Linked DNA regions of Rattus norvegicus. The protein of the gene in region 1 interacts with the protein of each later gene in a pairwise test. Links are inferred from orthologs where the notes say so. Each region holds a gene or a part of one and is shown in the gene's direction. Other genes may lie near its edges. The genes, in order: Myog, Txndc9, H2ap, Eif4e2, Polr2c and Cluap1.

Region 1 (5,361 bases):
CTCACCTCTTCACATCCTTATTCTGCTGATTCCCCAAGACCTGGTCCAGTCCTTGCTTCCTCCCCAGCCCTCCTCGGACGGAGGCTTAGCCTCCAATGACTTTTGCCATTTGCGATCCACGTTGCTTGCCCCTGTTTGGTTTTGTTTTTTATTTTGTCTGAGAGAGTCTCCCAACTAGCCCAGACTAGCCTGGAACTGGCAATCCTCCTGCCTTGGCCCCTCCGAGTACGGAATTAAAGGTATGTGCCACTATGCCCACCCAGCTTTCAGCAGTCTCATTGGCTGCAGCATTAACAGCTTCGCAATGGGGCATTCGCTGCCAATGGTCCGGGCTCATCTACCGGGCAGTGAGGCCACGCAAGGCATCTAAGAGCAAGTCCTGTCTGCTCCCACTTCAGAAGAAGAAGACAGTTTGCTTAGGGGTAAGTCAGATGGGGTCCCCCAAGGACAAAAGATATAATTTGGGGGTTTGCACAGCAGATGTGATATCCCTCTCTTCTCAGGGCTCACAGGGCCAGAGTATAACCTGAAGCAAGGTAAACGTCTGTTTGTTTCTCCACTTTGAGGAGGTGGGGAGTGTGTTGAGCATGAATATTCTCTGTGTGTTAGAATCCACAATACCATGCTGCACTCTGTATTCCCAAGTGAAGTCAAGAACGGCCTTAAGGCCTCACTAGGCCCCAATTTGCTTGGGGCTCCTTTATTTTCCAGCATGTCCCCCTCACACACCTGTTTCCTCCTTCAAAAGACAGTGCTTTCTTGGCTCATCCCTTAAGGGAGGAGAAAAGGCCAGCCTTTCAGACCTCACACAGCTCTCACTGCCGCTATGAAGGGATCCCTCCTTGAGATCCCACACCCCATACAACTCCACCCTTCCCCTGATTGTCCTGACTGGTAGTGTGTCCGTCTCTTGCTCTTCCATTGGAACAGCAGGACAGATCACACCTAGTCTGCAGGGTCATGGGGAAAGTCCTGAGCCGTAGGGTGAAAGTTTGTGACTCAAAATCCAGAATTCCTGAAGCTTCAGGTCAGGGGAATAGGCAGCCACAGGAAAAGGGATTCAGGAATCAGAGGTAGGGTGAAAGGTGGCCAGAGGCCTCCATGACCATCAGTGCCTCTACTGAGGTATCTACTGGGCTGAAGGAGCCCAAGATTCAGTGGAGATGGCCCCTCCCCCACCTGACATTCTAGAGTTGTATGACACAGGCAAAGGTCATGACTCAGGCCGGAAGGGATAGAAGAAGCCAGCCTGGTGGCAGCCTAGGACAGACACAATGTTAAGGATTACTCATTCTCCTTATCACCCATATACAGAAAGGAAGGAAGGAGTCAAAATGGTTCTAGTGCCCAAATGGGCAGAAGACATCATTGAGGGGAAAGCACAGGAGAGATGATTAAGAGACACCAGGGAGGGAGACAGGGGACTGAACAGCCCTTGACTGGAAGAGAAGGCAACGTAGAGTAGTTTGTGAGTTCTAATCCTTGCTAAACACTGACTTCACCCGACCCCTACTACTTCAGGATTCCCCCTTTACTTAAGAAGTCCCGTGTTCTCTTACTTCAACCCACCCTCAACAACATGAGACCTGGTCAAAGATGCCGTGGAAACCCAAAAGTTGGATCCATTTGCTCTTCTGAGTTTCAGTCTTTTGCCTCCATGGACTCTAGGGTTTCACACATATACACATGATCCAAACGTGGAGTGGTCCTGTTGTGGTGGTAGGGACCTCACGGGACTGACAGTACGGTTTAAGGTGCCACTGAGCAGGAAAGAGAAGGCTAGATGGATTCTGAAGAACCCTTCCCATCCAAGGCAACCCCTTTCTTGTTCCCTCTGGCCCTGTCCACCAGCTGCCCTGGCCCATGGAGGAGAGCAGGCAGGAGGCCCGGGTAGGAGTAATTGAAAGGAGCAGATGAGACGGGGAATGTACCCGCCCCCACCTTCCCTGCCCCACAGGGGCTGTGGAGAAATGAAAACTAATCAAATTACAGCCGACGGCCTCCCGACCCGTGCACAGGAGCCGCCTGGGCCAGGGGCAGGCTGGCAGGGTGGGGTGGGGGCAAAAGGAGAGGGAAGGGGAATCACATGTAATCCACTGTAAACGTCTTGATGTGCAGCAACAGCTTAGAGGGGGGCTCAGGTTTCTGTGGCGTTAGCTATATTTATCTCTGGGTCCATGCCAGCAGGGAGGGTTTAAATGGCACCCAGCAGTTGGCGTGAGGGGCTGCAGGAGCTTGGGGGCCAGTGGAAGGAACAAGTCTTTTCCGACCTGATGGAGCTGTATGAAACATCCCCCTATTTCTACCAGGAGCCCCACTTCTATGACGGGGAAAACTACCTTCCTGTCCACCTTCAGGGCTTCGAGCCCCCGGGCTATGAGCGGACCGAGCTCAGCTTAAGCCCGGAAGCCCGAGGGCCCCTAGAAGAAAAGGGACTGGGGACCCCTGAGCATTGTCCAGGCCAGTGCCTGCCCTGGGCGTGTAAGGTGTGTAAGAGGAAGTCTGTGTCTGTGGACCGGCGGAGGGCAGCCACACTGAGGGAGAAGCGCAGGCTCAAGAAAGTGAATGAGGCCTTCGAGGCTCTGAAGAGAAGCACCCTGCTCAACCCCAACCAGCGGCTGCCTAAGGTGGAGATCCTGCGCAGTGCCATCCAGTACATTGAGCGCCTACAGGCCTTGCTCAGCTCCCTCAACCAGGAGGAGCGCGATCTCCGCTACCGAGGCGGGGGCGGGCCCCAGCCGGTGGTAAGTGGCTGGTGCACCAGTTCCAGGGATAGAGCCAGAGGGAGGTGCCTGGTCAGCCTCGGGCCACCAGAGCTAGAACAGGTGCAAAGCAGGACCCTGGAGATCCCAGGACCCCTTTCCTGGTCGGCTAGAGTGTCCAGCGGCCTTCTGTGATCATACTGTTTCCAGACCAGACAAAGGCAGTGAATATAAATACAGATGGGGTGGGGTGGATTGGCACAAGGGAACAGAAGAGACCCAGAAACAAGCCTGAAGTAAGGGCTTAGGAGAGCCTAGGTGAAAATGAGAAAAAGTGGCCAAAGAAACCCGCTTTATCCCAAAGCCATAGCCTCTATATTTGAGCTAACAAAACACATTAGAATGTCCATAGGCCGGCTCAGGAGCCACCATAACAAAATACTCTGGTTTACCACCCTTATCCCTAAAATAAAGGCAAAATTCCCATCCTAGAAGCTAGGAAAGACCTAGAAATATGATGACTACGGTAACATTCTATGGTGAGTAACTGACCCTGTAACCCAGGCAGAGAGAAATACCTGAGACCTGTAGTAGACTTGACCTTGGACCTTGGCCTTGTCTTGCATGCAGGTACCCAGTGAATGCAACTCCCACAGCGCCTCCTGCAGTCCGGAGTGGGGCAATGCACTGGAGTTTGGTCCCAACCCAGGAGGTAAGTGAATCCTGACCCTGGTAACATGGCTCAAATCCCTTAGTCCTAACTAGGCTGGGCTGTTCCCTTACCATAACACCTGTTCCAGTTACCTTCCAGCGGCTTTTCCAGGAACCTGCTGACCCGAGGTCCCCAAATGGTGGGCTGGAGACCCTACCTCCCTGTAGCCTTGACCAGCTAATGAGTAGTTAGGGCCTCCCACAGCTTCCCAGCTGGCGTCTGACTTGGGGAGGGGGTGGGGAGAGCCTGCCCCTGCCCCAGGGGTCCCTGGGAATTGCTGAGTCAGTGTTGTAAAACTGGGCCCGGTTCCCTAGGATATCCTGGCTTCACCTTGGGTTAGCCACTTCCAAAACCCAACTGCATTAGGGGATTTCAGAAGCAGCCCACAAGTACACACACACACACACACACACACACACACACACACGGCATGGGGAGTGCTAGTGGGGGGGGGCACTCCTGAGTCTTCCTTACCTATTTTGTCCTGGAAAAGTTGTGTCATCAAGGGTCCCTTACCCCTTGCCCAGGAAACATTCCCCACCTTCTCCTTACAGATCATTTGCTCGCAGCTGACCCTACAGGTGCCCACAACCTGCACTCCCTTACGTCCATCGTGGACAGCATCACGGTGGAGGATATGTCTGTCACCTTCCCAGATGAAACCATGCCCAACTGAGATTGTCTGCCAGGCTGGGTGTGCATGGGAGCCCCTGAGTTGGTGTCAGACGCCACCACTTCTGCAGCAGGGGCCTTTTAAGTGGGGCTGTCCTGGTGCCCAGAAAACAGCCCTGGGCTGCCACAAGCCAGACTACCCACCGTCCATTCACATAAGACTAACACCCAGCCCAGCAAGGGAATTTAACTGACTCCTTAAAGCAGAGAGTATCCCCTTCCAAGGAGAGAAAGATGGAGTCCAGAGAGCCCCCTTGTTAATGCCCCTCAACGGGGCAAACTCAGGAGCTTCCTTTTTTTTTTTCTTCATAATGCGCCTCTAATTCCACCCCCCAAATGAGACAGTTTGAGAGACAGTGAGTGCCCCGACCGGGACAAGTGTGCACATCTGTTCGACTCTCTTCCTGATGCCAGTGGCTGGGCTGGGCCTGCCCTGAGATGAGAGAGAAGGGAGGGAACGATAGGGTTCCAAAGTCTCTGGGGGGCAAGCATTTGCAGTGGATATTGGGAACCTTCCAGTGCTTTGTGTATTGTTTATTGTTGTGTGTGTTGTTTGTAAAGCTGTCATCTGACCAAGGTCTCCTGTGCTGATGCCAGGGACAGGCAGGGAAGGGGGTGGGGGCTCTTGGGGTGACTTCTTTTGTTAACTAAGCATTGTGTGGTTTTGCCAATTTTTTTTGTAATTTTTTTGCTAACTTATTTGGATTTCCTTTTTTAAAAAATGAATAAAGACCGGTTGCTATCAGAGCGTCTGCAATGATATTATCAGGAGGGGAGGCATCAAAACACTGCACCTTCCCCTTGGAGGTCCAGATGGGGGGGGTTGGATCATGTGAGTGGAGCTTCAATCCTGAGCTGACCATTAGATGCAGGAGGCAGGTGACACATAGCCTGGGGAAAGACCAGATTCCTTAGAAATCCCGGGCACACCGAGGCCTGCAGAACCCTTTGTTGTACTTTAATTCAGACATCATGTACAGTCCACTGTGTTACAATTTCCAGCCCAATAGGTCCACTGAGCACGCTCACGTGCCTTGTGCCCAGCCCACACCTAGGGCTAGGGGTTTAGAGCTGGATTTTCAGGGCTTTCCTTCCTCAGCTCCGTGCCTCCCCTGGATCCGCATCCCTTTAAGTTCTACGGAGAGTAGGGGGTGACTACACAGAACAAATGGAGTCAGACAGTGTCATTTCTTCACAAGACAAATAGCAATGTCCCCTTATCACCTTCTGCCCTTCTGGGGATATTCCTGTCCCCATCTACAGCTCAAAGGTGAG
Region 2 (5,421 bases), on another chromosome or scaffold:
TGCTCCCCAAAATTTCCGCCAAAGTAGCTCAGAGACCCTCCTCTCCCTGAAAAGACTTTTTTTTTAGGGTTAGAAAGCAGCGACCCCGAATGGTTCCTTCCCCTCCTTCTGTCTTATGGGAAGTGGTAGGAAGCCAAGACATACGCGAGAAAGACAGGCCGGAAGACGGAAAGCCAGAAAGCAGGAGTCTGGGCAACCGGCACTTTAAATAACCCCAGAAGTGTTTCCAACTTGGCATACAAGACGAGGGAGCCGCTGGGCCACCACTCCGCAGCCCCGAACAACTTCGAAGTTCCTGAGCTGCTCCGGGAGGCGTTCCCAGGGTCAGGGGCGGCGAGCGAGCCGCTCCCGGCCGGCCCTACCCTAGCTGCCAGGGCCCGGCTCGCACTCACCTGGGCCGTAGGCCTGGCTTAGCTGCGCCCGAGCCCGGCCCCACACCGCCCGGAACCCCCGCAAACGACCTCCGAGTGCCCCAGCCCCAAGCCTCGGACCGCAGTCCGAGCCCCGGCCGCGGGACGCGCCTCGTCGAGGTTCGCCCACCCAGGGCCCCGCGCGACGACCCCCGGCCCGAGCCCCGCCGCCTAACCTGTCTTCGCTCTTGTTTTTCTGTTTCTTCCCCATCGCTTGTCAGCGGCGCTCGTGGCCACGGCCCCTCGGTTCGGTGTCTCACAGACCCACTGTCTCCCAGCCGACTCCAATGCCCGCTCGGCTCGGTCCCCCTCGCGCCGCCGCCTCTCGCACCCGGCTCTCCACAGACCCGCGCACTGGGACAGGGCACATATGGTGTGAGCCCTCAGTACGCAAGCGCATCGCCCCGCCGCCTCGGCGTGGGGACGCAGGGCGCGGCTCATCGAGAGCGGCGCTTCGGCTAGAGCGTCTGGAGTTGACCCGCCGGCCAGGTGGGAACTCGAGCGCCCCCTAGCCGCAAGTGAGCGCCGCGCACCGACGCCCAGCAGCTCCCGGGTTCTAGAACCTGGAGGAGGACAATGAGGCCGTTCATTTCCCACTGTCAAGCACCCTCCCCGGGGCTGGCATTCGACGCCGAAGTGGGACTGAAAACTCCCCTCGCCTCAGCTGCGGGAAGTCCACTGCAGGACCACAAGGAGCCAATGATGAGCTTTCTGGGGTTGGCAGGACCAAAAACAGAAACAAAAACAAAAATACCAATTCAGACACTGAATTGTCAACTGTGTACTTCTATTAAGGGAAAAAGACATAAGGGCACAGCGACCGGACCCCTAATATGAATCTTCTCATGAGCAAGTTCTAAAAATGCATGTGTGTAAGATAAAATGGGGAGGGAAGATCCTGGAGTGGTGAAATTTTTCTCCATATGTTTTTGTGCACTGTTATAGTGTGAGCTGTGTACAAATTTATAGCATACTGGAAGCTACACTTTAGAAACTATTAAACGCAAGGCAAACGAAGCCCCTCTGTCACTCAAGCGCAAGACCCGGCTCGTTTCCACGTAGCTTTGCGAGCTGGGACCCGCAGTCAGTGCATAAAAACTACATTCCCCAGCGTCCTTAGCGCCCATCCCTCCGGCCATTAGCCCACGTGAAGTGTAGGCTCAGAAGTCAGTAGTTCCGGGTGGCGAAGGATAAGAGCTTCTCCGAGGCTTTCGTCACTCTCCACCGCCCCTTCCGCAGGTTATATCGCGAGAGGGCTGTAGCCAATGAAAAGGTGGAGCTGACAGCTCATTCGCCGCCCTTAACAATTGCTGTGAGGTTGAAACCTGCGTGAACCTGGTCGGTGCTCTTGGTCTGCGGCTCCCTCTCTCCGTAGGCTTCACCAATAATCCAGGTACGGCAGAGGGTTCTGTAGCCGATCTTGCCACTGCGTCCCCGTGTAGATGAAGGACACACATCGGCTGCACATCCGGCTGGGCTGGGGGCGGCTGGGAGGGCCTCGTCTGGGCGGCTGCGGAGGCTACGGCGCATGCGCCCCAGTTAGTGCGAACTAGCGTCCTCCCCACCCCCCGGAACTCCTCCACCAGTCCCTTGAGCTCAGGGAGTGGCGAAGAGTCCGCTGACAGGTACACGGGGTTAGGGTTTCGGGTAGGAGTTTGTAGGGGAACAAATAAGTGTCAGCCCCCCCAGTTCATCGGTAAGAGTAATACTTAACAAATAGAAAGTTATGGGGAACCACTAAGCTACACATCCTTAGCCCCACCTAACCCAGCGCAGCACTTATTAGTCTCATGAAGCTCTGAATTTAAACTTAAAGGTCTGTGAAAACCTCAGGGATAAGCGACTACTATGCCCTGTTAATGGCAGATTGTGAGTAGCTGGTCTCGGATCCCTTCATCTAGATCTTCCTGAAGAGTCACAGTCTTATTGTATCTCTCCTCCCCAGGTTAGGGAACCTGGGGATACAGCTTTTAAGTTGTATAATATTCATGAGGAGCTGAAAATTGAGGCTTAGAGGGTAGTTTAGGGATTTTTTTTTTAAAATAAATGGTCTTATGTAGTAGCCCAGGCCTGTCCTCCAAATATATCCAAGGATGGTCTCAAACTCCTGATCCTTATGCTTCTGCCCTTGAGAACTGAGGTTACAGTCATAAGCCACCGTGCCCAGGGTTATTTTGTGTGCGAGTTGATTAGTTTTAGCTGCCAACTTTATGCAGTAACTTACAGTCACCTGGGAAGAAAGACTCATTGAGAAATTGGGTAAATCAGGTTGGCCAGTGGGTATCTTTATTCTGGGGCCTACATGGCTGAGTTTTAAGGCCAAAATGATGCCTCCAACATGGCGCCTGTTAAGGTCTCAGGCCTTATAGAGACCCTGTCTTTTAAAGAAAAACAGAAACAAAACAAAAAGAAAACAAAAACAAAAAACCCAGAGTGTAAACTTAATACTTGTTTTTTTATGAACCCCTCCCCTCCCCCAGCACCAAGACCATTTAGGAAAATGGAAGGAAATGGATCTATCGACATGTTCTCAGAAGTCCTAGAAAACCAGTTCCTCCAGGCTGCTAAGCTAGTGGAAAATCACTTGGACTCTGAAATTCAGAAACTGGATCAGATCGGTGAAGATGAGCTGGAACTGCTCAAAGAAAAGAGACTGGCGGCGCTCCGGAAGGCTCAGCAGCAGAAACAAGTAACCTCCGCCTGCTCTCTGAAACCACTGTAACCCTGTGCTCCTGACTGCACTGTGCAGTCATGTGACTTTCCCTCCTCACTTGCAGGATGTTCCAAATTCACACGACACTGTTCAGTAGCTGCCCAGGAATAAAACATTAGGGAAGACTTAGGCAAGATGTACCATTTGACTGAGGCGATGACATGTGAAAGAGAGACATTGAGACTTTTTCTTAGGGCAAGCTTAGGGTCCACACATCAAAAAGAAATACGATGGTTGTGTGTGAGAAAATATTTCTAAGTGTTAGACTTGCGTTTTTATTAGGTTGTCTTGTCTTTTGTGGGAGGGCAGGACAGGAGCAGGATCTCACTGTGTAGCCATGATTGGCCTAGAAATCTCAGACATTTTACCGCTTCTGCCTCCGAAGCGCTGGGGCCCAAGGTGTGCACCAGCACCCCCATTCTGTCTGTCATCTTCATGGCCACTCAGTGACATGGTTGGGTTGTTGCACCCACTTACAAGAGAGAAGGTGAAGTGGAAGGCTCCTTAAAACTGGTCAGTGCGCTTACCTAGGAAGCGCAAGGCCCTGGGTTCGGTCCCCAGCTCCGAAAAAAAAAAAAGAACCAAAAAAAAAAAAAAAAAAAAAAAAAAAAAACGGTCAGTAAATGTCGGATGGGCGTGGCCACTGCAGCCTCCCTTGTTACTTTTCTCCTAACCAGCAGCCTGAAAGGGAGAGTGAGCATCCGTTGAGGTGACAAGCTTTCTGCTACAGGGAAGGGGAAGGGGCTGGAAGAGTCCCAGGCTTGGTTGACAAAGGCCCTGCCTCAGCTTGGGAACCTGAATTAGATGTGAGGCTTTTTTCCCTGGCTTTGGACACCACGTGGGTGGGATACTTTTCCTTCTGAGGACTCTGCTCACTATTGGCTGCTCTAGAAGCCCCGGCCTGTTTTGAGATTACTGTCAGAAGCAGATAGGGTCCTAAGCTTCCTGAGCTTCGATAACTGCACTGTCCCCCAGGGTGGATGGGCTTTATTTCATGAGGTGGTTTGGTTTAGTTTGGTTGTCTGTTTAGTTATGCTGTGGATAGGACATTATTTCTTAAATTTGAGATTGTCATAGGATTATATCATTCCCCCTTCCCTTTGCTCCTTCCAAGCCATCCCATATTCTCCCTTTCACGCTCACAGCCTCTGTTCTCACTAATTGTTGTTACATCCCTATATGTGTGTGTGTGTAGACATACACATTTCTAAATATGCCCTGCTCAGTCTGTAATGTTAACTCGTGTGTACATTTTCAAGACTGACCATTTGGTAGTGGACAGCCAGTTGGCGTGCTTTTCCCTGGAGAAGACTCTTCCTCCCACTCTCAACATTCTTTAGTTGCCTGTGAGAGCATTACTTTCTAAAGTGTAGAAAATAGTGAGTGTGTGTGTGTGTCTCCGTGGTAGAGCTCTCCTGTCTCCTGCTCTTGCTCCTGGTTCAGTCCCTCACATCACAAAAATAAACCGAAAAACCGTTTTGTAATCAAACAACCCTGATTTTATTAGTTTAAAGAGCACACATGTGAAAGTTAAATTGGTATTTTCATGTTATGTCTCACAGACCTAAATTCTGGCTGTGAAACTTAAAATGAAGCAGGTAAATGAACAAGGTGCAGAACTGCCCTAATGAACCCCTGTCATGAGACGGTCACTCCTGCCCACAGACTAGCTCTGCACAATGGCCACTGAGATCCTAGGAAAGCCAACTGCTGAAGGAACACCTGCTATGCAATAGAATTGATTCCCTTACAAAATTACACAATGATTAAGAGATATAAAACACTCGGTACCACGAAAACACGTGTCAGCTGGGTCTCTTGCTTCTCTTGAAATTAGGAATGGCTTTCCAAAGGACACGGGGAGTACAGGGAAATCGGCAGCGAGAGAGACTTCTTTCAAGAGGTCAAGGAGAGTGAGAAGGTGGTTTGCCATTTCTACAGAGACACCACATTCAGGTAACCTGGCTTCCGCTCTTCTCTCTACTGGGATGAGACATGTGCGTAGAGACACTGCTGACTTAGAGCAGTCACGTGTGGTGATGTGGTCACAGGTGTTTTCATTATTGTGAAGATTAGCCTAAGCCAGCAAGCACCTTGCAAGTAAATAAGTCGGTCTTATCTGAAGTCAGTAGTCCTGTGTAAATGTTTCATTGTGCCGAGCTGTGGTTTCTCCATGTAAGTCAAAAGACATCCAGAAGTAAGTGCTTGTAATTCTTACCAAAACAATAATTTGATATGCTGTGTTCATAGGATGCTGGAAATTGGGAGCCAACAACTTTCATAATTGTTTATCCCTTC
Region 3 (3,539 bases), on another chromosome or scaffold:
TCATTGTTAGGAGTCCCACAAAAACACCACATTAAACAATGACAACATATATGTTATGACCTAGCACAGACTGTGTGGTTGCTGTTTTAGTCTCTGTGAGTCTCTATGATCTCTGCTTAGTTGATTCTGTGGGGCTTGTTCTCCTGGTATCCTGAAACCCTCTGGCTCCTACAAACCTTCTTTCCCCTTTTCTGGGGGACCTTTCATGAGTTATGCCTAATGTTTGGCTGTAGGTTTCTGCACTTGCTCCTATCAGTTGCTGGAAGAAGCCTCTGTAATGATGAGTGGACAAGGCACTAATCTATGAGTATAACACAATGTCATTATGATTTTTTTCATTGATCTTTTTTTGCCAGACATGTTTGGTTCAATCTTAGGTCTCTGAGCCATTCAGCTTCTGGTTCCTGGCTATCCAAGCAGTGTCTTGTGTGGGCTTCCTCTTGTGAAGTGGGCCTCAGAGTGGACCAGTCGTTGGTTGGCCACTCCTATAAGCCATTATTGCCCTGGCACATCTTTCAGGCAGGACAGATTGTGGATCAAAGGTTTTGTGACTGGATTTGTGTTTAAATCCCACTCCTGGATGCCTTGCCTGGTTGGTTACAGGAGATGACTAGTTCAGGCTCCATATCCTTCATTACTAGAAGTCCTCACTAGGGTCATTCTCATATAAGTTCCAGGAAGTTTCCACTTCTCTAGGTTTCCACATTGCCTATCAAGCCCTCTCCTAAGTTCAAGTAGTCTCTCCTTGTACTCTCTCCATCCATTGCTTCCTCCCCAACCTGATTTCTCCTGTTCACTCACTACCAACCTCCAGTCTACCCACATAATCTATTCTATATCCCCTTCCCAGGGAAATCCAGTCATTACCCCTAGAGCCCTCCTTGTTACTTAGCCTCTCTGTGTGTGTGGGCTGAAGCATGACTACCTTTTACTTTGATTAAGGACCTGTGAAAGAATCTAATGTCTGATGAAATGAGTCATTTAGATCTGTAAGCTTTGGAAAATGATATATCAGCAGAATTAATGTCAGATTAGATTGAAGGTGACAGAAGATGAAATGACAGAAATCTGTGGGGTTTTTAAGCTTTGTGAAGAACAATAGTGGCTAAGATTACTCACTTGTAACCTTGTGCCAAGGACATATGATTAAAAGAAATTATCAGAGAGTTCGGAGGGAAGAAATCTGGCTATAGATAAAGTTATGAAATCAATAGAGCCAGGATCAGTGGTCTCACATCTCATGAGCTTATTGTTCTGCCCTGATATCCAATAAAGTTTTACATATTTGGGTTTTGATATTGACTTGATTGAAGATTCCTTTCACTATAGATCTTTTGGAGTAGGAGTTACTGGTTATAAGTGAACCAAAACACAACAAAAATACAGAAACAAGATAGTAATAGAAAGGAAAATTGAAATAAAATATGTATACTGGAGCTTGGCTTTAACCCAACAGAAAGAACAACAAGAAAGCAATATCCAGACTTAAATAGAACACAAAGTATAGCTACCAACATCTATGTACCAGAAACACACCAAGCATTTCCTCTCCAAAAAGAGATGTTTTGGAAATTGGATAAAACTCATGTGGATATTGAATATCTATGATACTGAATAAACATATGAATGAATATATTCAAATGTGTACAGGATTGTTAACCAAGCCTATTTAAATAAGTAAATTGAATCAAAAAGGGTCTCAACACTGCTTGAAGAGGACAGTCAAGCCTCTACCTGGAAATGTATTTGACATGCTTATCACTGCCTTGTAATTGATGAAAGGTTGTAAAGACAGACAGCTTCAAGTAAAACACATTATTTCTACAATGTTAATTCAAGTGTAATTGAGAAGAGTTAGAGTCCCCTCAAAATCAGGGTAAGGTGGTCACATTGCTGTGATAGATATTTCTAGGCTCAAAACCTAGTCAAAGCTCATAACCCACCAGGCACCAATGACATCTCAAAGCCTAAGATGTCATAAAGGTAGCTCCTGACCAATGAGGTGCAGAAGTTGAGGGTGCAATGGGCCTGACTGAACATTGTCTTCAGAGAACCAGTCCTGCTGGTGAACCAGGCAGAGCTTACCGGAGCCCAAACCATCAAACCATCATGTCGGGGAAGAAGAGCCAAGAGAAGGCTTGCAGCGACAACAAGCAGACGGAAGATCCTTCTTCTAGGCCTGAGGTACAGGTGCCTGTGAACTATGTGTACCGCCTACTGCAGGAGGAGCAATACACCCCCTGCCTAGGTTCCACAACTTCTGACTTCCTCCTTGCCATGCTTGATTACCTTACCGACTACATCCTGGAGGTGGTGGGCTCCGAAGCCAACATCAACAGCCAGCAAAATATTTCACAAGATAGAGAGAGACAGAGAGAGAATGACCGTGAACCCCCTCAAGCCTTCAAGAATGCGCCTTTCTCTCTGTTTGATGAGATGCCTGGACCCAGAAGGAATGGCTAAAGAATGGGGTTCACAACCCAAGAGTGGGAAGCCTCACAAACTCAGCTAGAACCATGAAGGCTAATAGCAGAGGAGGCTGCCCCCTGTGTCCATGAATACTAATAAAATGTTTAAATGAAAGTTACTTGTTCTGACTTATTTCAGTTTGTCTCGTTGAGTTGGAGGTATCCACAAGATATCAAAGAAAGAATAAAAGATTGAAGTTATGCTTAGGAGTGGGGGTTTGAATCGAGGGAGTACTTCTCAGTGGGGGTGGGCTGGGTAATGACCCCAGTGGGGGGAATTGGGCAGAGAGGAGGGTGGAGAAGGCTCCCTTGTTGGCTCTGAGTACAAAAGAAGCCTCAGAGAAGACCAGAAGTAGTCTGTAGCCTCACTGGAGAGTTATATTTTCAGTATGGTAACTTGGAAGATGCTGCTGATGAACAGAAGCCACCTTTCATGGGAGCAAAGGTCTCAGAGCAGAAGGAAATGGGTGTCAGCGAAGGGGTAAAGACAGTTTGCATGAGTCACATGAGTAGGCATAAGGGACAGAGTATTCACTTGATGATGGTGTAATGGCAAAGCCAGAAGGAAATATCCATTTTAGAAGAGGTAAAATGGTTAAACATCTAGTCTTGGGATATGTTTTTCTAGAGAGCCTGTGATTTATAGAAATCTAATTGCTTCTGGGTAGAAGGTGGCAGAGAATCTAGCTTGCCAAATATTTCTACTGTCAATTTGTCTATATTTTATCTCAATCCAATTTCAAATGTTATAACCTATGGGAATACTAGTTATTTTTTAAATCTGGATGAAGGAAATCATACTGTTTTCATTTAGCCTTGACACATGATTGAATCTCAGAGTTGAAGCTATAAACCAGTTCTTTGAACATGTATCTCCTCCTAGGCCTATTGTCTATGTAAAGACTTGGCAATAGGGAATCAAACATGTCCAACCTCCAAATTCTACCTCAGGCACTAAGCAAAATCTAAGAAATGGAAACTACTTGATCACACAGAACTGTTCATCCAGCATGTTTGATTCATCTTAACAAGGTCGCTATCAGCTTGGGACCCCAAAGACCCTAGTTCTCA
Region 4 (4,742 bases), on another chromosome or scaffold:
TTATATTCGTGCCTGGTGCTAGAGATACCAGTGGAAAAATTAGATAAAGTCCCTCCCTGCACTGAATTTGCTAGTCCAGGGAGTATTGAGAAGTACCTAGGCAGAAGCTTAGAGAGCTAACCCAAGTGTCACTTAGTCTGAACAGGAATTGAGTAGTTTAAGTAGTTTAGTCTGTGGAGTGCTACTGTTTTAGTGTGTACTCTACTTTGGCTCAAATCCAGCTTTAAGCTGGGAAGAACAGCTTCTGAAAAGCAGGTTGTAAACCTTTGGCTTGGGTGTATGTGCAAAGAGCAGGTTAAAGCAGGGTAGATATGGTGGACATACCCTTAAAATCTCAGGAGGCAGAGACAGGTAGATGGATCTCTGTGAGTTCAGTTCCAGCTTGGTATACATAGTGAGTTCTAGGACAGCCAGGACTATTTAGAGAGACCCATTTTCATAAGATGAGAGGGTGAGGCGGGGGGATGTTCATTGGTAGAGTCCTTGCCTTTCATAAAGGAAATGCTGGGTTTTATTACCAGCATCCTCAAAACTAAAATAAAGACCAGTGCATAAAGATACAAAATGAAGTCCATTGAGGTTCCTACTTGCTGGCTTAGAAAGGCGTCTAAGATGGTTTCAGAATAATAGCATTGTTTCTTCTCTGCCTTAACTGGTTTTGTTTTCTTTTTGTTTCCTAGTAGCAACCAAAAGAAAACCACTAGAAAGGAAAGGAATATAACACTTTTCTTGTGGCTGGCAAAAATGAGAGGTCCTAGGTGACTGTCCTTCTTCAACCAAAATCTAATAAAATGACCTCAGAGGCTATAGTAGGGCTTAGGAGAAAACAAAGGGTCTTGTATCCCTAGAGGATGTGTTACAAAAGAGAGTTGTTTGGGGCCAAAAACAGTAGAAAAATCTATGAGGTATTCTCGGTTCTAGATCAGAGGATGGAAATGGGCCTTGAGATGCTTGTATTATACAGAGCAGAGGAGAGGGTTTGGTTTGACCTATACTGGGAGAGAGTAGGGACTGTTTCCAAGAGAACGTGAATCTTGAAGAGCAGTAAACCAGGAGTGGAGGCATGACTCCATGCTGAACATGGTAGGAGTGGGGCAGAGATGGGGACCTGCACTTAAGTGGACACAATAGGAGTGGAAGGGGGTCATAGAGAACAGGCAGGAGATGTTTGGGGGACATGCAAACAGAATGGCCCTTTGCACCAAGTCAAGGCTTTATATACCTTATCTCTCCTTAGTTCTTTGAGGACAGGTACTCTGGTAGCCAGTGAGCTGCTTGGTAAATGTTGGTAAGTTTTAATTCATGGGCATTATGTCCAAGGCAGGCTTGATTTGAAAAGGAAACTAAGCAAAACAAGTTTAACCAAGGGGAAGGAAGTTTAATAAGCACAGGTAATGAATGTCTCTGAGAAGCAGACAGATGGCAGTGTCTGCACACCTCTCTCCACTTGCTCTGCTTGCCCATGTGGGAGAAAGTGGGCTCTGGGTTGGGATCGTGGAATGCCTCCTTGAGCCACTCTAGAAAGGGTGAGGGTGATGCTTCAGGTCCCTGTTTAACCTCACATGCTCATCAGTTCCAACTCCTTTCTCTCTCTCTGGACTGCCTGTCCCTTTTGCTCCGAGTCTTGATTCTTTCAAAGACCCTAAAGCTGGTCCAGCTTCTGAATCCTTCGTCTTTGTTCTCTTGGATGAAATCAATATAGAGAGAGGAGTCAGTATTCTGAAGAAAGGTTATGAGGCATAGGTTGTTAGGCAGACTGGACTGCCCTTTGCTCCTATGCCTTATCTAGTGGGGTCTTGACCAGGTGGGGATGTGGAGATCTATCACAGGGAATGGCCACATGAGTATCTCCTGCAGTATGGCTGCCTGTTGGGCAGAGCAGGTACCCCACACAGGACTAGCTTATTCATCCTGTTATTTACAGGTGCATTTTATACGTTAGCCATTAAAGATGAGCAGACAACAAACACCAAGCACCACCACTTTCCAAAACACAAACTGGTATGCACCATATTTCTGAGTCTGTGTAGGATGATATCAGTTACAACTGAGGTGTGCTGGGACCTGTCTTGAAAATGCCTGATTCCATTTTTTTGTATATACCATTATAGAACCCAAAAGATGATTCTGGAGAAAACCTATGGGCGAATGGGCTAATTCTGGAGTGAATGCCATTCTGTCTCCTCCATTTTTTTTTAAAGTATGTGTATGGAGTAGAGAGGTCAGAAAACAGCTTAGCAGGAGTAGGTTCTCCTTCCAGTGTGTAGGTTCCAGGGATTGAACTCAGTCCCCCAGCTTGACCACAAGTGCCTTTGCCCAATGAGCCACCTTAGCAGACTGAGCAAATGCACTCTTATTTTTGTGCACTAACCTGCTTGTTTTTGTCTGCATCTGGTGGGGCTTAGGTGGTTTCACAGTTGACTCTGCTTATAAGACAACACATCCACTCCTCCTTTGGTTTTCCTTTTCATTCAGTCTTTGTTCTGTGTCATCTGTGTTTTGGGTGCCAGTAATAATGAGATGAGGTATGATACTGTGCTAAAGAAACCCTCTGTCTCAAAGAAGAAACAGACAGGGAGGAGTGGCACCTTGGACTGGAAGCAAGCAAGGTGTTTGCCAGTGAGAAGGGCTGATGTGTATGAGAAGGGAGAGGAGTAGGCTCTGGACAGGACTGAACTTCTAAAGTCTTAGGAAAAGCACGTTGTGTTGAATGCTACTCTAGAGGATAGGTAATTAGGAAGTTGATGGTTGAGCATCTTAAGGACGCAGGTTCATTAGCAGATTCACATTTAGAAAGTGAAGAGGATGGGTGGAGAGGAGAGACTGACATCACACCCACTTATAGACCAATGATGAACTAGATGACTGGAGAAGGATACTGACCTAAGGTGTGGAACGAGGGCAGCTGGGAGAGAGGTGGAAGGAGTGGACGTGACAGTATATGGGCAGGTTTTAAACTTGGAGATGTCAGAGGAATTTGTCCAGAAATTCTAATTACCAGTTTGTTTATTACAACAAAATCCAGCTCTTTAACTGCTTTGTTATGCTGCTGTTGGGAAACTGAAAGACTGTTCACTGGAGCCCATGGGGTAGCTAATTTAATAGTTTTTATTTAATATTCCTGGTTTGCTTTCCCTTTGCCCTTCTCACAGACACATCTCATAGGCCTGGGGTTTGAGTGACTTCGGGATACTTAGTAGTTCTCTGACCTTATAGTTTTGTTAGGTAACAATAGTTTAGTGATGGAATGACATTATTTTGCTTTCCCTTGTAGCTTAAAAGATGATGACAGTGGAGACCATGATCAGAATGAAGAAAACAGCACACAGAAAGATGGTGAGAAGGAAAAAACAGACCGAGATAAGAGCCAGAGTGGTGGCAAGAGGAAGGTATGTTTGGGGTTGTAATACAGGTGTCGTGTGCCTTGATTATCTCATTATCTCTTTAGAGCAGATTCACTCTTTTGGAATCTGACTGTTCTTAAAACAAGGTTGAGGGGACTGGAGAGACTTCTCCCACCATGTGCTCTTAACGCACACACTCTCAAGCACGTATACTCATGGAGACATAAAGATCGGGGACTAGGGTACTACTCCGAGGTCGGTATAAGGCCTTGGGTTCAATCCCTAGCACTGACAAAAGGGAGGAAAGGTATGGAGAGTGGGGGAGAGGGTATAAAAGAGGACACGGGGCACTGGGTATGACCAAAGCCTGGTGGATGTGTATATAGGAATGTCACAGTGAAATCTTTAGTATGCATCCCTCATTACAAGTTTTAAAAGATGGTAGAATGGCTCTTCTTCCTCACTCTCACTCTTCCTTCCGCTCTTCCACTCTCACTCTCACTCTCTCTCTCTCTCTCTCTCTCTCTTTCTCTCTTCCTCTCCTCCTCTCCTGGCTTGACACGATAACCTCTGTGTGTGTGTGTGTGTGTGTGTGTGTGTGTGTGTGTGTGTGTGTGTGTGTGTGTGTGTGTGTAAAAAAAAGATGGTAGAATGACTATAGTTTATTTTGGAAATTATAACTTCCTCTTAATGTGAAGTCTTGGGGTGCTGTCCTGCTATAGTCTCCTCATATGAGATGGGCGAGTGAGGGCTCTCACCTGGAGCTTTCTTTAAAGGCTACTCAGTAATTCAAATCCTGCACATTCCTGTTTTAGACTTTTCAGTCAACAGTAGTACGCATTGAGAGTGGCTTGGGATACAGAGAATTTAGGAAATGAAAGAGAAGTAGTAGATCAAGTTTCTCAGTATTATAGCACTATTTATCTGATAATCTGAATGCCTGCTAAGCAGGCCTTTTCTTACAAGGTGGTAAGAAGTCACAAAGATAGCAGGCAGTGGCAGTGTGTACCTTTAATCCCAGCACCCGGGAGGCAGGCCAATCTCTTGAGTTTGAGACCAGTCTGGTCTACAGAGTGAGTTCCAGACAAGCTAGGAGTACACAGAGAAACCCTGTCTAAAAAAGAGAGAGAGAAGGAGCTTATGTTCATTGAGCACTTCCATTGTGACAGTCAGTGACCAAGCTCTTGGTGCCTCTAGTCATTTGTTCTTCACAGTGACCCTTCTAGGTGCTTACTGTCCTTTCCTCCGTCTTGTAGACGGTTGCTGAGGCACAAGAAGGTTAAGCAACCTGCCCGTCTTTAGTAATGGACATTGAGGAGGTGGTACTTGGAGTGGGCATATGTTGAGATGATGAATGCCCATGGTGTTATGAGAAAAGCAGAAAGTCGTGTTACAGCA
Region 5 (5,532 bases), on another chromosome or scaffold:
GGGCATAGTGACGTATACCTGTATTCTCAGTACGCAGAAGACTGGAGAGCAGGATTGAGAGTTCAGAGGCAGGCTTGTCTATGTAGAGAATTACAAGCCTGCTTGAGCCACAGAGTGTGATCCTGTCGATCAAAATCCCCTGAGAAATATTCTTAGGGGCTCACAACCAAGGTCCAAAGGCAACACATAGTGGGGGCTCTTCCCCAGCACAGGGCAGACAGTGTGCTCACAGAGGTATTTGCCATTGGCCACTGCTCCTCTGGATCCCCTCAGAAAGCTGCCTCCCCTAGACAGGTGCCTTTTGGATGGTCATGCTGAACCTGGCATCACAGACACCAGTGTGCATTGCAGGATCATTAGTACATTTAGAGTCTGTAAAAATAATAAATATGTTTGAAACAATTTCTTATTGTTTTGTCTATACGGTGTCCATCTAGACAATGTTGAGTATCCAAGACCCCGACGGTAGACAGTAGTATATGGAAGAAGTCTGAGTTCTGACTGTGACACTTCCTTAAACCTACAGGGCCACCATGACAGCATTGCATCTCTGGGCCCAGGCAAGTGAGGGCAGTCCCAGGCCATGAGCTCCTTGTCTGCTCCTACTCTCTGACTACATGAGGGCAATCTTTAGCTTTCATAGTCCTCCAGCCTTTACACTGGCTGTTTCCTTTGTGCCCATGGTTTGCACTGCCTTCTGCTGTACTCCTGTTTAAATCAGCTGACGGGGAAAGCTGAGTTTCCGTTCTTGTCCACTGGACTTTCTGTCGGGCTCTTTTCGAACCTCTGATTTTTTTGTCTCGACGTCCCATAAAGTTACTGCCATGATTACAGTTCATCTTTTCTCTATCCTTTTTAGCATCCCTCTCACTCAGCAGACAAGTGGGACTCACAATTCCCAGGGATGGTGTGTACTGTGAGCAGGCCCCCTCTGTATGGGCATTGTTGGAGTATATGTTGGGGACCTTTGAGATGGCTCAGTGGGTGAGAGCATTTGCAGTCAGGCCTGGTGTCTTTCCACGCACATGATGTGTTGTACCGTCTCTCACACACACATGTATTTTGATTTTCATGTGTATGCGTTACAGCACTCTCTCTGACATCAGCTCGGGTGTGGGTCTTTTGTTGTTTGCTTCTTTGCGCACTATCTAACTGTCCTAAGAGCATACAGGGGATTCTTCTCTTCACCTTCCAACTCAAAGGAGCACTAAGATTACAGACTTTGGCATTACCATGCTGGCTGTTTTACGGGTTTTCTGAGAATTTGAACCTGTATCCTTGCACATCGAGTTTTCTGAGAATTTGAACCTGTATCCTTGCACATCGAGTTTTCTGAGAATTTGAACCTGTATCCTTGCACATTGGTGTTTTGGCTTTGACAGTGGGACCAGGGACTGTGGTGCGTACTTTACATATCAATGCAGAGCTGGCCCCTAGGTACTCCCAGCATCTTTCAGTCCCTACTTGTCATATTCTGCCCCCACCCTGAACTTTCCAGCTTAGAGGCTGGGTTGCCCTTCCTCAGAGGCTCTTCTCTTTCCTGTTTAATCCAGATACCTTGTGCTTTGTGCTCTCTCTCCTTTTCTCTCCCTCCCTCCCTCCCCGTCTCTCTCCCTCTCCCCTCTTTTCCCTCCCTGTCCTTCCCTTGGTGACTCCCCTGGCCTCCATTCTTGGGGGCCAGTGAACTTGCCTGAGAACAGCTTCCCAATAAACCTACCTTTTAATATGTTCTAGTTTGACTTGAATTGACTCATTTCTCTGGCAGAGAAATAACCTGTCAGTCGTTTTACACAATGAGCCACCTCCCTAGCCATTTTATTTATGTTTAGATGTACAGCTTCCATCTTTTAAAAGGCTTTATTGTATTCCTACACATTTAAAAATTATTCTTATGTATATGGGTGTTTTGCTTGCATGTATGCTTGTGCACCATTTGACTACCTGGTGCCCTCAGATGCCAGGAAAGAGATTCCTTAGAAACTGGAGCTAAAGATGTTAGACGTCATATGGATGCTGGGAATACAATCCAACTCTTAGGGAACAGCAGCCAGTGCTCTTATCTCCACATCCCCGTATGTACGTTTAACCAAGCCTCTATCAATTTTTTTTTTTGGTTCTTTTTTTCGGAGCTGGGGACCGAACCCAGGGCCTTGCGCTTCCTAGGAATTTTTATTATTATTTTTAGCAATTACAAATAACATTGGCGTGAATGACCCTGTCCGTGAAATTTTGTGCTGTGTATCTTGGGGATTTCAAGAGCATAGGACCAGTGCATGTAGCCAGTGTGGTTAGAAAACACAGGCCAGGAGTTCCGGCCTCCGGTCAGCAGGTGGCACTGCGCCCACGTCTAGCCGGAAGCGCCCGGGTGCCCCGCCGACAAACTGGTGGTCGCGCAGGCGCGCTGTGGGGCTGGCGCGGGAGACAGGCAGCCGGTCGTGATGCCGTACGCCAACCAGCCAACCGTGCGGATCACGGAACTCACTGAAGAGAACGTCAAGTTCATTATCGAGAACACGGACCTGGCGTAAGGAGGCGAGGGGAGAGGCGGGCGGCCGGGGCCTCGGGCTCCTGACCCCGGGGCTGTGTCTTCGGGGCCTCTCACGCTGCCTGCCTTTCCTCCTGTAGGGTGGCCAATTCCATTCGGAGGGTCTTCATCGCAGAGGTGCCCATAATAGGTAAGCGACCCTCCCTCGGAGCCGGTGCCGCCGTCCCTCCGCCCCGGGTGGGAGCTGAGAACACTGAGGAGGTGCACGCCGGGCTGCGGCTGCCTAGGCCCGCCTCGGTGCGTGCCTTGCTCGGCAGCGGGGATTCCAACTCTGTTCGTCTACCCAAAAGCAACAGAAATCAAGACTAAGCACTATTAAAACAGCCGAGGGCTGCAGCCTCCTCATCCGTAAGGTGACCCTAGGTTAGCGGGTGATACAGAGATTACTGAAGTAATGTAGATGGTGCGCTTTTGCTTTTTTTTTTTGGTTCTTTTTTTCGGAGCTGGGGACCGAACCCAGGGCCTTGCGCTTCCTAGGCAAGCACTCTACCGCTGAGCTAAATCCCCAGCCCCTGCGCTTTTGCTTTTAAGTCAGTGTTCGTTACTGGTTGGCGTCTTTTGAAAATGTCTGTTAATTTTACAAAATAACAGACTACGTAATGACATTTTTTAAATCTACACACAGAGTGATTTCTCCCGTCCTTCCGTCCTTCCAGATAGTACCCTGCTATACTTTCTTTTCTTCTCCCCCTATCTTCTTTAGAACATATTTATTTACATATATGTGTATATCTCTGGGCTCGAGAGTACCATAGTTCATGTGTGAAGGTCAGAGTACAGTTTGTGGGAGGGATTCTCTTCTCCCACCATGTGTGTCCCAGGGATTGACCTCGATAAGGCTTGACAACAAGTAAGTACCTTTATCCCGCTAAACCATCTTGTAGGCCCTGAACTCTCCTTTTATTTAAAAAGGGGAGGGGGAGGGAGGGAGGGAGGGAGGGAGGGAGAGAGAGAGAGAGAGAGAGAGAGAGAGAGCGCCCACATGAGAGAAAGCATGTGTGTTATTAAACTTTTCTTTTACAAACAGCATACTTTAGTTCTTTATGGTTGAAGTGTGTGTGAGTGAGAGACAGACAGATAAGACAGACTACAGGGTTTTTTGTATTTATTCTGGTGTCTTTTTTTTTTTTTTAATGAATTTCTTATTTCTGTAGATCATGTAAGTTTCCAGGTGAAGTCAAGAAATGAGCAAACATAACACAAGGCAAAATATGACAGCTGTCTTCAGGAGAGTCTAAACAGTTTTGTTTGTTTGTTGTTTGTTTTGAGAGAAAGGAAGGAGACCAAAAGAAGGGGATGGAGCATTTGTAGATACGCACACACAGGGTTTTTATACCGGGAGTTCCCACCAGGGGTTAAGGGATGGGGAGTAGATTAAGGGCATTGAGGGGGCCCTGGAAGTAAAGCGTCAGGAAGCCTCACCCTTGCTAGGGTTGAAGAAGCGCTGCAGGGAAGGGCAGGCTGGGCCTGTCCTCGCCTGGTCTTCTGACCTCTCTTCCTTGTGCCTATGGCAGCTGCTTGAGAACTGGGCTCCCACACCATTTGATTTCTGAACATCATTGTTTATGTGCAGGTGTTTGCTTATGGGCGATTAGGTACAGGTTTAAGTTAAGCTTCTGTGTGTGTACAGTCCCGTATGCCCAGCATTGAACTGAGAGGGGTTGGATTTATTGTTAGTGTGCTTTCCCTGTTGAAGCCATCCAGTGAACCATCCCTTGATGGGAGTAACACTGAAATTCTAAGTGGGCTCTCTGGTGATATCATAAATAAGGTGTGGGCCATGAACTTGTGATGTTTTACTTTTTACTCTTGAGATGTTTTCCCTAACTTGAAAATTTTTAAATTTTTTTTTTAATATTTATTTATTTTATGTATGTCAGTACACTGTTGCTGTCTTCAGACAAACCAGAAGAGGGCTCCAGATCCCATTACAGATGGTTATGAGCCACCATGTGGTTGCTGGGAATTGACCTCAGCACCTCTGGAAAAGCAGTCAGTGCTCTTAAGGGCTGAGCCATCTCTCCAGCCCTTTAAATTGTTTTTAACTGTCTCTGTGTGTAGGTGTTTACAGGTGAATGCAGGTGCCAGAGGTGCCCAGGAGTCTCAGATCCCCCTGAAGCTGGAGTTACAGGGGTTGTGAGCTACCTGACATGGGTGCCAGGAACCCTTCCCCCCCCCCTTTTTTTCAGAGCTGGGGACCGAACCCAGGGCCTTACGCTTGCTAGGCAAATGCTCTACCTCTGAGCTAAATCCCCAACCCTGCCAGGAACCTCTTAACCTCTGAGCCATTCCTCCAACCCATGTTTCCCTCAACTTTTAGGTGCCCAAATAGCTTTTATTCTTGGATTTGGTATTGGCACAGGTAGCTGGTTTAAAGTACTCAATTCCCTAAATATCTCTAAATTCTCTGAGGTAGGTAGGGGTGTATGTGTATCACTAACAAGGCCTATACCCAGTTCACTGGGGCAGGAAGATTATATATATGAAATGTGGAAGGCCTAAACCTGGAGCTAAACTTTGAAGCCTCTTACAGCCTAGTCTGGCCTGGTCTGGTCACCTTCAACTTTGTAAGCACTGACTTGATTCTTTCTTTTTTGTTTGTTTTGGTTTTTTTTGTTTTTGTTTTTGCTTTGGAGACACTGTTTTTCTTTTGTAGCCCTAGCTGTCCTGGAACTCAATTTGTAGACAAGGCTGGCCTCTGCCTCCCGAGTGCTGCTGGGCACTGAGTGATGTGAGACAGTGCTATAGGTCTGTAAATGAATCTGATGGCTAGTTCTCATTCGTCCTGTCTTGTTGCCGCCTTTTCCAGCCATTGACTGGGTTCAGATTGATGCCAACTCCTCGGTCCTTCATGATGAATTCATCGCGCACAGGCTTGGTGAGTGCCGGTGTTGAGGAAGAGATCAAAGTGGGATGCTCCCTGTCCCTAGCCTGCCTGACCTCTGAGGTTCTTGTGGTGGCTTGGCTGTTGGCTGTTCTGCAGAGCA
Region 6 (4,742 bases), on another chromosome or scaffold:
GAGAACGGAGACACAGGAATGCACCTACGATTTGTTGACAGTTCTAATTAGCTGGCGCTCACTTAAGTACATATGTTAGTGTGTATGTTGGCATTTCCCCAGGACAAGTTTTAAATGCCATCACCTGCCATATTTTCCAAGGATCTCACCATTTTTGTGGTTTGTTTTCTCAGGAAGGCCCAGCAAACGCATCGTGGGCACAATGCAAGGCGGAGACTCCGATGAAGATGTGAGTCCATGCCTTCCCGACAGTCCTGTGCCTCCCGGCCTGGGGCTGGGCTCAGAGCTTAGCTCAGGTGCTGCCCAGATCAGGGAGCTGCTTGTACTCAGCACATGGCTTGACTGTGCTGGAGCTCGGTCTGGGAAGGGCTGGCTCTCCCTCGCTTCTCAGGAGCTTGTTTCTCGCTTCACATAAATATGCACACCCATCGCCCTTCTTTGCTTTGTCACCTTCTCAGTTCTTTCCACTCTCACTTTCAAAGACGCAAGCAGCACCAGCCCTCTTAGGTAAATGCAGGACCTCCAGCTCCAGGACGCAGGTTGGTCTCTTTGCCTCATCTGTTTGTTGCTGTGTGTTGGCCTGCTCAGGGCTAGCAGACCCTCTCCTCTGAGGTGATGCTTCCTCTGTTGGGCAGGAAGCCCTCAGAATAGATCCCATTGCAAGAGAGGAAGGGAATAGATCCTCTTGCATTACCATACTAAACAGGGTCAAACACCAAGACCAAAGGTGAGAAAGACGTGTGCAGTCATCAACTCTGAGTTTCAACCTAGAAACGAAGCGCTGATGCCAAGGACTGTGGTCTGACACAGCCTGTCCTCGGCACCCTCTGCAGTTCTGGAGCAGGAACACAGAAAAGATGTTTGTCCTAGACCAGAGCCTTGGAGACACCTGACAGGAGCCTGAGACCAGGATGCTGGTGCCTTGAACTCCACCACATAGATAAACCAAAAAGGGAACTCTGGGTTCTCAAAATGGCAGGCTGGCTCTGCACTGCCAGGCTCTCTGAGCCCTGTTCTTGCAGTCCCTGGCCATACTTCTGGGCCCAAAGGTACTGGAGAGACACCAATCCAAGATCAGTTTGTAAAGTATGGGCCTGTGTCTAGGGTCTGGCACCAGCACCTTCACTGGGACAAAACAGGACCTTATGCTCTTGTATGGTGCCTGGCTTACTACAGTGTGGTATTACTTAGAGTCACAGGAGCAAGCTAGCACCTAGTCTTGCTGAGCAGGACACAGAGACACGTGTCCTGAATTCACCTTGAATTCCTAGGACAGTCACTAGAGAGTCAGGGAAGTCACTCAGCTGTGACTTTCTTTTTAATCCCAAGGATGCATATGATAAGGTAGCTGCCATCCGTTCCCCCCATCTGAGATGACACACAAAGGGTGCCTATGATAAGGGAGCTACCCTCTACCCACCCCCAGCCCCCGAGGCTGACACATGGGTCTGGCCTAGAGAGCCTGTGCCTCCTGGAAAGTGCCTGGCTTGTTTTACTTGCTTGCATGCTTTCAGAATGGACACATCCTCAATGGCCTGGGTCTTCCCGTTTATTTATCTCTTGCAGGCTGTGTTCACACAGCCCCTCTGTCACAGCTTTATGTTTGTCCAGCATCAATCTGTTGAGTCCTGTCAATGTCGGGTCCTGAATGCAGCAGGGAATAAAAACAGGCCTTGCCTTTGGGACACATGTGTTCTAGGAACAATCTAGCAGGCATACCATGGCCACGGTTATTAGGGAAGAAATAAAATTAGTTCAGGAGGCGAGAAATGACAGAGACAAGGGATTTTTTTTTTCCTCGTGGGCAGGCAAGGCCTCTCTGAATAAGGAACAGGGTGAGCCATGTTAGGGTGGACAGAGCCCTTGGGCCCAGGGAGTGTGAACACCTCCAGTGCCTAGGCAGTGGCAGGGTAGAGGAACTAGGCTGAGAATGATGAGAAGTGGCACAGGCAGTGGACCTGCATGGGATTTGATGAGCCCCTCCCTCATAAGATAGATGTGCAGTTGTCAGCCCAGGAGAGACGGCAGCAAGGGCAGCTGTGTAGGCTGGAGGTGAGGGTGCTTTAGCCTGAGGAGGTGAGGACAGTGCTGTTGAGACGTGCTGGACTTCTGGGTGTTTCTGAAGTCAGACCCATCTTGTTTCCTTAGTTGACTGCACCAGTGTGATGAAGAGAAGAGCATGTAGACTGCTTTGGTTGTGTGTAACTGACTAAAAGCGCAGGGTTTTAACTTCCTGAGACAGATGACTTGGGGGAGGAGAGGCTGAAAAGGTGAATCAGGAATTGGTTTTAGACATTCTCAAGTGTGTGGCCTATTAGACATCCATGTTCCATGTGCAGCAGCCAGTTGAAATTAGAGTTTGGAATTTAAGAAACAGGGTCGTATCCCTACTGGATATCCTTTGCCGTCTTCATAACAGTGGTCTTGGGCTATGGGGTAGATTGCTGTGCTTAGGCAATGGTGGGGTAACACGGGAACGCTGGAGTACAGGAATTTACCCGGGGAGTTTATCCTTTCTTTTTTTCACTGTGAGACAAGGTCTTTCTATGTAGCTCAGGCTGGCCTCAAATTCAGTCATCCTCCTTCCTGCCTTAGCCTCTGCAATGCTGGAATTGGAGACTTGTGCCACAATAGGAATTGCTTCTCAGCATTTGGCTAAGATCAAGTGTGGTACCACAGTAGGTCTGGCCTTCTCAAGGATTTCTGCTAGAAAGAAGCAGACAGCAGGGTGGCTGGAGGAGGTGGTAGTTCTCTAAAGAAGAAAATGTTAACACATATGACTACTCGGGAGTAGACTGGGTAGCCAGCCATCTTGGCAGATACTCATGGAACACAGGACTTGCTGTAAGAATGACAGCCTCTGGTGCTCCCTGGATCCAGACCATAAAGGAGCTGGGCACCACCGCTTTGCCTTCTTTCCCACATCTGTACCACTCTCCACCTCCAGCTGGAATAGGCCTCCCCTCCGCCTGCTGTCTGTTGTCTACTGGGTCTCTGGAGTGCAGGAGCCGTGCAGATCTAGGTTCCTCAGCACATGTTAAGGGCGTTCTTGAGACTGCCTCAGACAGCCAAGCCCTGTTCCGTAGCCCTGGTAAAGAGCTACTGGTTATAGCCTCTCGAGTGGACTCGTTCAACAGGCAGTGTGTGTGTTCCCACAACCCTCCACCACGTGGGGTGGCTGGTCATTGCCCTGGCAAGGGTGAGGTGGGGTCTCTAGGGACAAGATGTCATGGTGAGCCGGCACCTCAGTTACAGTTGCCATCTCTTTGCTTCAGGAAGACTCGGAGGACAGCGAAATGAACATGGAAGATGATGAAGAAGATGACGATGATTTGGAAGATGAGAGCATTGCGCTCTCACCAGCTAAACCCAGTCGGAGGGTCCGGAAACCCGAGCCCTTGGACGAGAGTGACAATGACTTCTGACCTTCTTGCCAAGAGACCCAGACAGCTTAAGAGCGTCAGATGTATAGGTAAACAGGGACTCAGCAGGCTGGAAAGGTAACGTGTTTTGTTCACTACCCCATCTGAGCTTATCCATACTGAAACTCCAACAGAGATTTTCTTTGTCTGTCTCCTAACGCTTGGGATCCCCATACCCGTGTTCCAAGTGATTCAATCTGTAAGAAAAGCCCCTGAGGAGAAATACAGACTTGACACCATGTAAGTCTTGGCTGCTGTTATTATTAAATTAGTTTTCCTTGATGATCAGGCCACAGAGAGGCTCCAGACTATGAATGTTTTGTTTTCTCTCAGAGGTTCTACTCCCAGAGTGTTGTTCTGGGATTCACTTCAAATTACATGCCACCATCATAGTTCCCCAGCCTGGCTCCCTCAACAAATGCAGCAACAACGTCTACTGTTACCTACTCCGCCAAAAGGGATCCGTGTGTGTGTGTGTGTGTGTGTGTGTGTGTGTGTGAGCACAAGCATGCATTTGTATGTTATATGTGCACATGTTCTAATGTGAACAGGTACTTGTTTGTGCTGGTAGACATGTATGTGTGAAGACCAGAGGATAACCTCTGTGCTTGTTCCTCAAGAACTGTCCACCTTTTGGAGGGTGTAGGGATGGGTCTTTTACTGGGGCCTGGGAGCTCATCAGTTATCCTAGACTGACTAGACAGTCAACTCCCGCTTTATCTCCCGCTTCCCAGGGGTTACAAGTGCACACTAAGGGTTTGCAGGAGGGTGTTTGGAGACAGCACTCAGACCCCTGCTTGCTTGACAGACTATGTCAGCTGAATTGTATCCTCAGCATTTTATTTTGTTTCATTTTTGAGACAGGGTCTCACTATGTAACTAGTAGCTAGCCAAGAACTCCTATGCAGACCTTGAACTCCTATCCTGGCCTTGAACTCACATAGATCCATCTGCTTCTCCCTTGGGCTACACTAACTGGATTTAGTAGATTATCAAACAAAAAAGACACAAAATTAGGGCAGGAGTATTTTGGGGGAGAGCAGAAAAGGGAGGCAGTGTACATGATCATAGTTCATTGTAAACATGTACGAAAAGCTCAGAGAGTTCTTGTAGGCCTGACAAAACAAAACACTGGAGCTGGAGAGATGGTTCCAAGGCTGAGGAAGCTAAGCTCAGTGCCCACCACACGAGGTGACCCACAGCCAACTATTAGCTCCAGTTCCAGGGCCTCTGGTACATTCTGGTAGCTTCCTTGGGCACCTGTACTCACAAGCTTGTACCCTCACACAGATGCACAAATCAGAACAACAGAAGCTAGAG

Evidence for each region.
Region 2: the proteins of Myog (region 1) and Txndc9 interact in binary tests that used the Homo sapiens proteins (3 or more experiments, as listed by UniProt). The two-hybrid records come from large-scale screens. The link is inferred for Rattus norvegicus from reciprocal best matches to the Homo sapiens genes MYOG and TXNDC9.
Region 3: the proteins of Myog (region 1) and H2ap interact in binary tests that used the Homo sapiens proteins (3 or more experiments, as listed by UniProt). The two-hybrid records come from large-scale screens. The link is inferred for Rattus norvegicus from reciprocal best matches to the Homo sapiens genes MYOG and H2AP.
Region 4: the proteins of Myog (region 1) and Eif4e2 interact in binary tests that used the Homo sapiens proteins (3 or more experiments, as listed by UniProt). The two-hybrid records come from large-scale screens. The link is inferred for Rattus norvegicus from reciprocal best matches to the Homo sapiens genes MYOG and EIF4E2.
Region 5: the proteins of Myog (region 1) and Polr2c interact in a two-hybrid assay, tested with the Homo sapiens proteins (2 studies listed by BioGRID and IntAct). The link is inferred for Rattus norvegicus from reciprocal best matches to the Homo sapiens genes MYOG and POLR2C.
Region 6: the proteins of Myog (region 1) and Cluap1 interact in binary tests that used the Homo sapiens proteins (3 or more experiments, as listed by UniProt). The two-hybrid records come from large-scale screens. The link is inferred for Rattus norvegicus from reciprocal best matches to the Homo sapiens genes MYOG and CLUAP1.

Annotation. Positions count from the first base shown.
Region 1 is NC_086031.1:48,295,236-48,300,596, forward strand, and holds Myog (myogenin), read left to right. Parts: upstream 1-2,240; 5' UTR 2,241-2,273; coding exon 2,274-2,744; intron 2,745-3,332; coding exon 3,333-3,414; intron 3,415-3,968; coding exon 3,969-4,090; 3' UTR 4,091-4,830; downstream 4,831-5,361. UniProt on the Homo sapiens protein: Acts as a transcriptional activator that promotes transcription of muscle-specific target genes and plays a role in muscle differentiation, cell cycle exit and muscle atrophy.
Region 2 is NC_086027.1:47,714,054-47,719,474, reverse strand, and holds the start of Txndc9 (thioredoxin domain-containing protein 9), read left to right. Parts: upstream 1-1,713; 5' UTR 1,714-1,803; intron 1,804-1,899; exon of another isoform or gene 1,900-2,035; intron 2,036-2,890; 5' UTR 2,891-2,910; coding exon 2,911-3,099; intron 3,100-4,960; coding exon 4,961-5,079; intron 5,080-5,421. Other genes in the region: Eif5b (eukaryotic translation initiation factor 5B), read right to left, coding at 587-621. UniProt on the Homo sapiens protein: Significantly diminishes the chaperonin TCP1 complex ATPase activity, thus negatively impacts protein folding, including that of actin or tubulin.
Region 3 is NC_086039.1:15,579,517-15,583,055, reverse strand, and holds H2ap (huntingtin-interacting protein M), read left to right. Parts: upstream 1-2,025; 5' UTR 2,026-2,109; coding exon 2,110-2,463; 3' UTR 2,464-2,580; downstream 2,581-3,539.
Region 4 is NC_086027.1:95,336,952-95,341,693, forward strand, and holds part of Eif4e2 (eukaryotic translation initiation factor 4E type 2), read left to right. Parts: intron 1-3,274; coding exon 3,275-3,389; intron 3,390-4,742. UniProt on the Homo sapiens protein: Recognizes and binds the 7-methylguanosine-containing mRNA cap during an early step in the initiation. Acts as a repressor of translation initiation.
Region 5 is NC_086037.1:10,167,813-10,173,344, reverse strand, and holds the start of Polr2c (DNA-directed RNA polymerase II subunit RPB3), read left to right. Parts: upstream 1-2,414; 5' UTR 2,415-2,438; coding exon 2,439-2,524; intron 2,525-2,625; coding exon 2,626-2,675; intron 2,676-5,354; coding exon 5,355-5,423; intron 5,424-5,532. UniProt on the Homo sapiens protein: Core component of RNA polymerase II (Pol II), a DNA-dependent RNA polymerase which synthesizes mRNA precursors and many functional non-coding RNAs using the four ribonucleoside triphosphates as substrates.
Region 6 is NC_086028.1:12,093,308-12,098,049, reverse strand, and holds the end of Cluap1 (clusterin-associated protein 1), read left to right. Parts: intron 1-173; coding exon 174-229; intron 230-3,275; coding exon 3,276-3,425; 3' UTR 3,426-3,704; downstream 3,705-4,742. UniProt on the Homo sapiens protein: Required for cilia biogenesis. Appears to function within the multiple intraflagellar transport complex B (IFT-B). Key regulator of hedgehog signaling.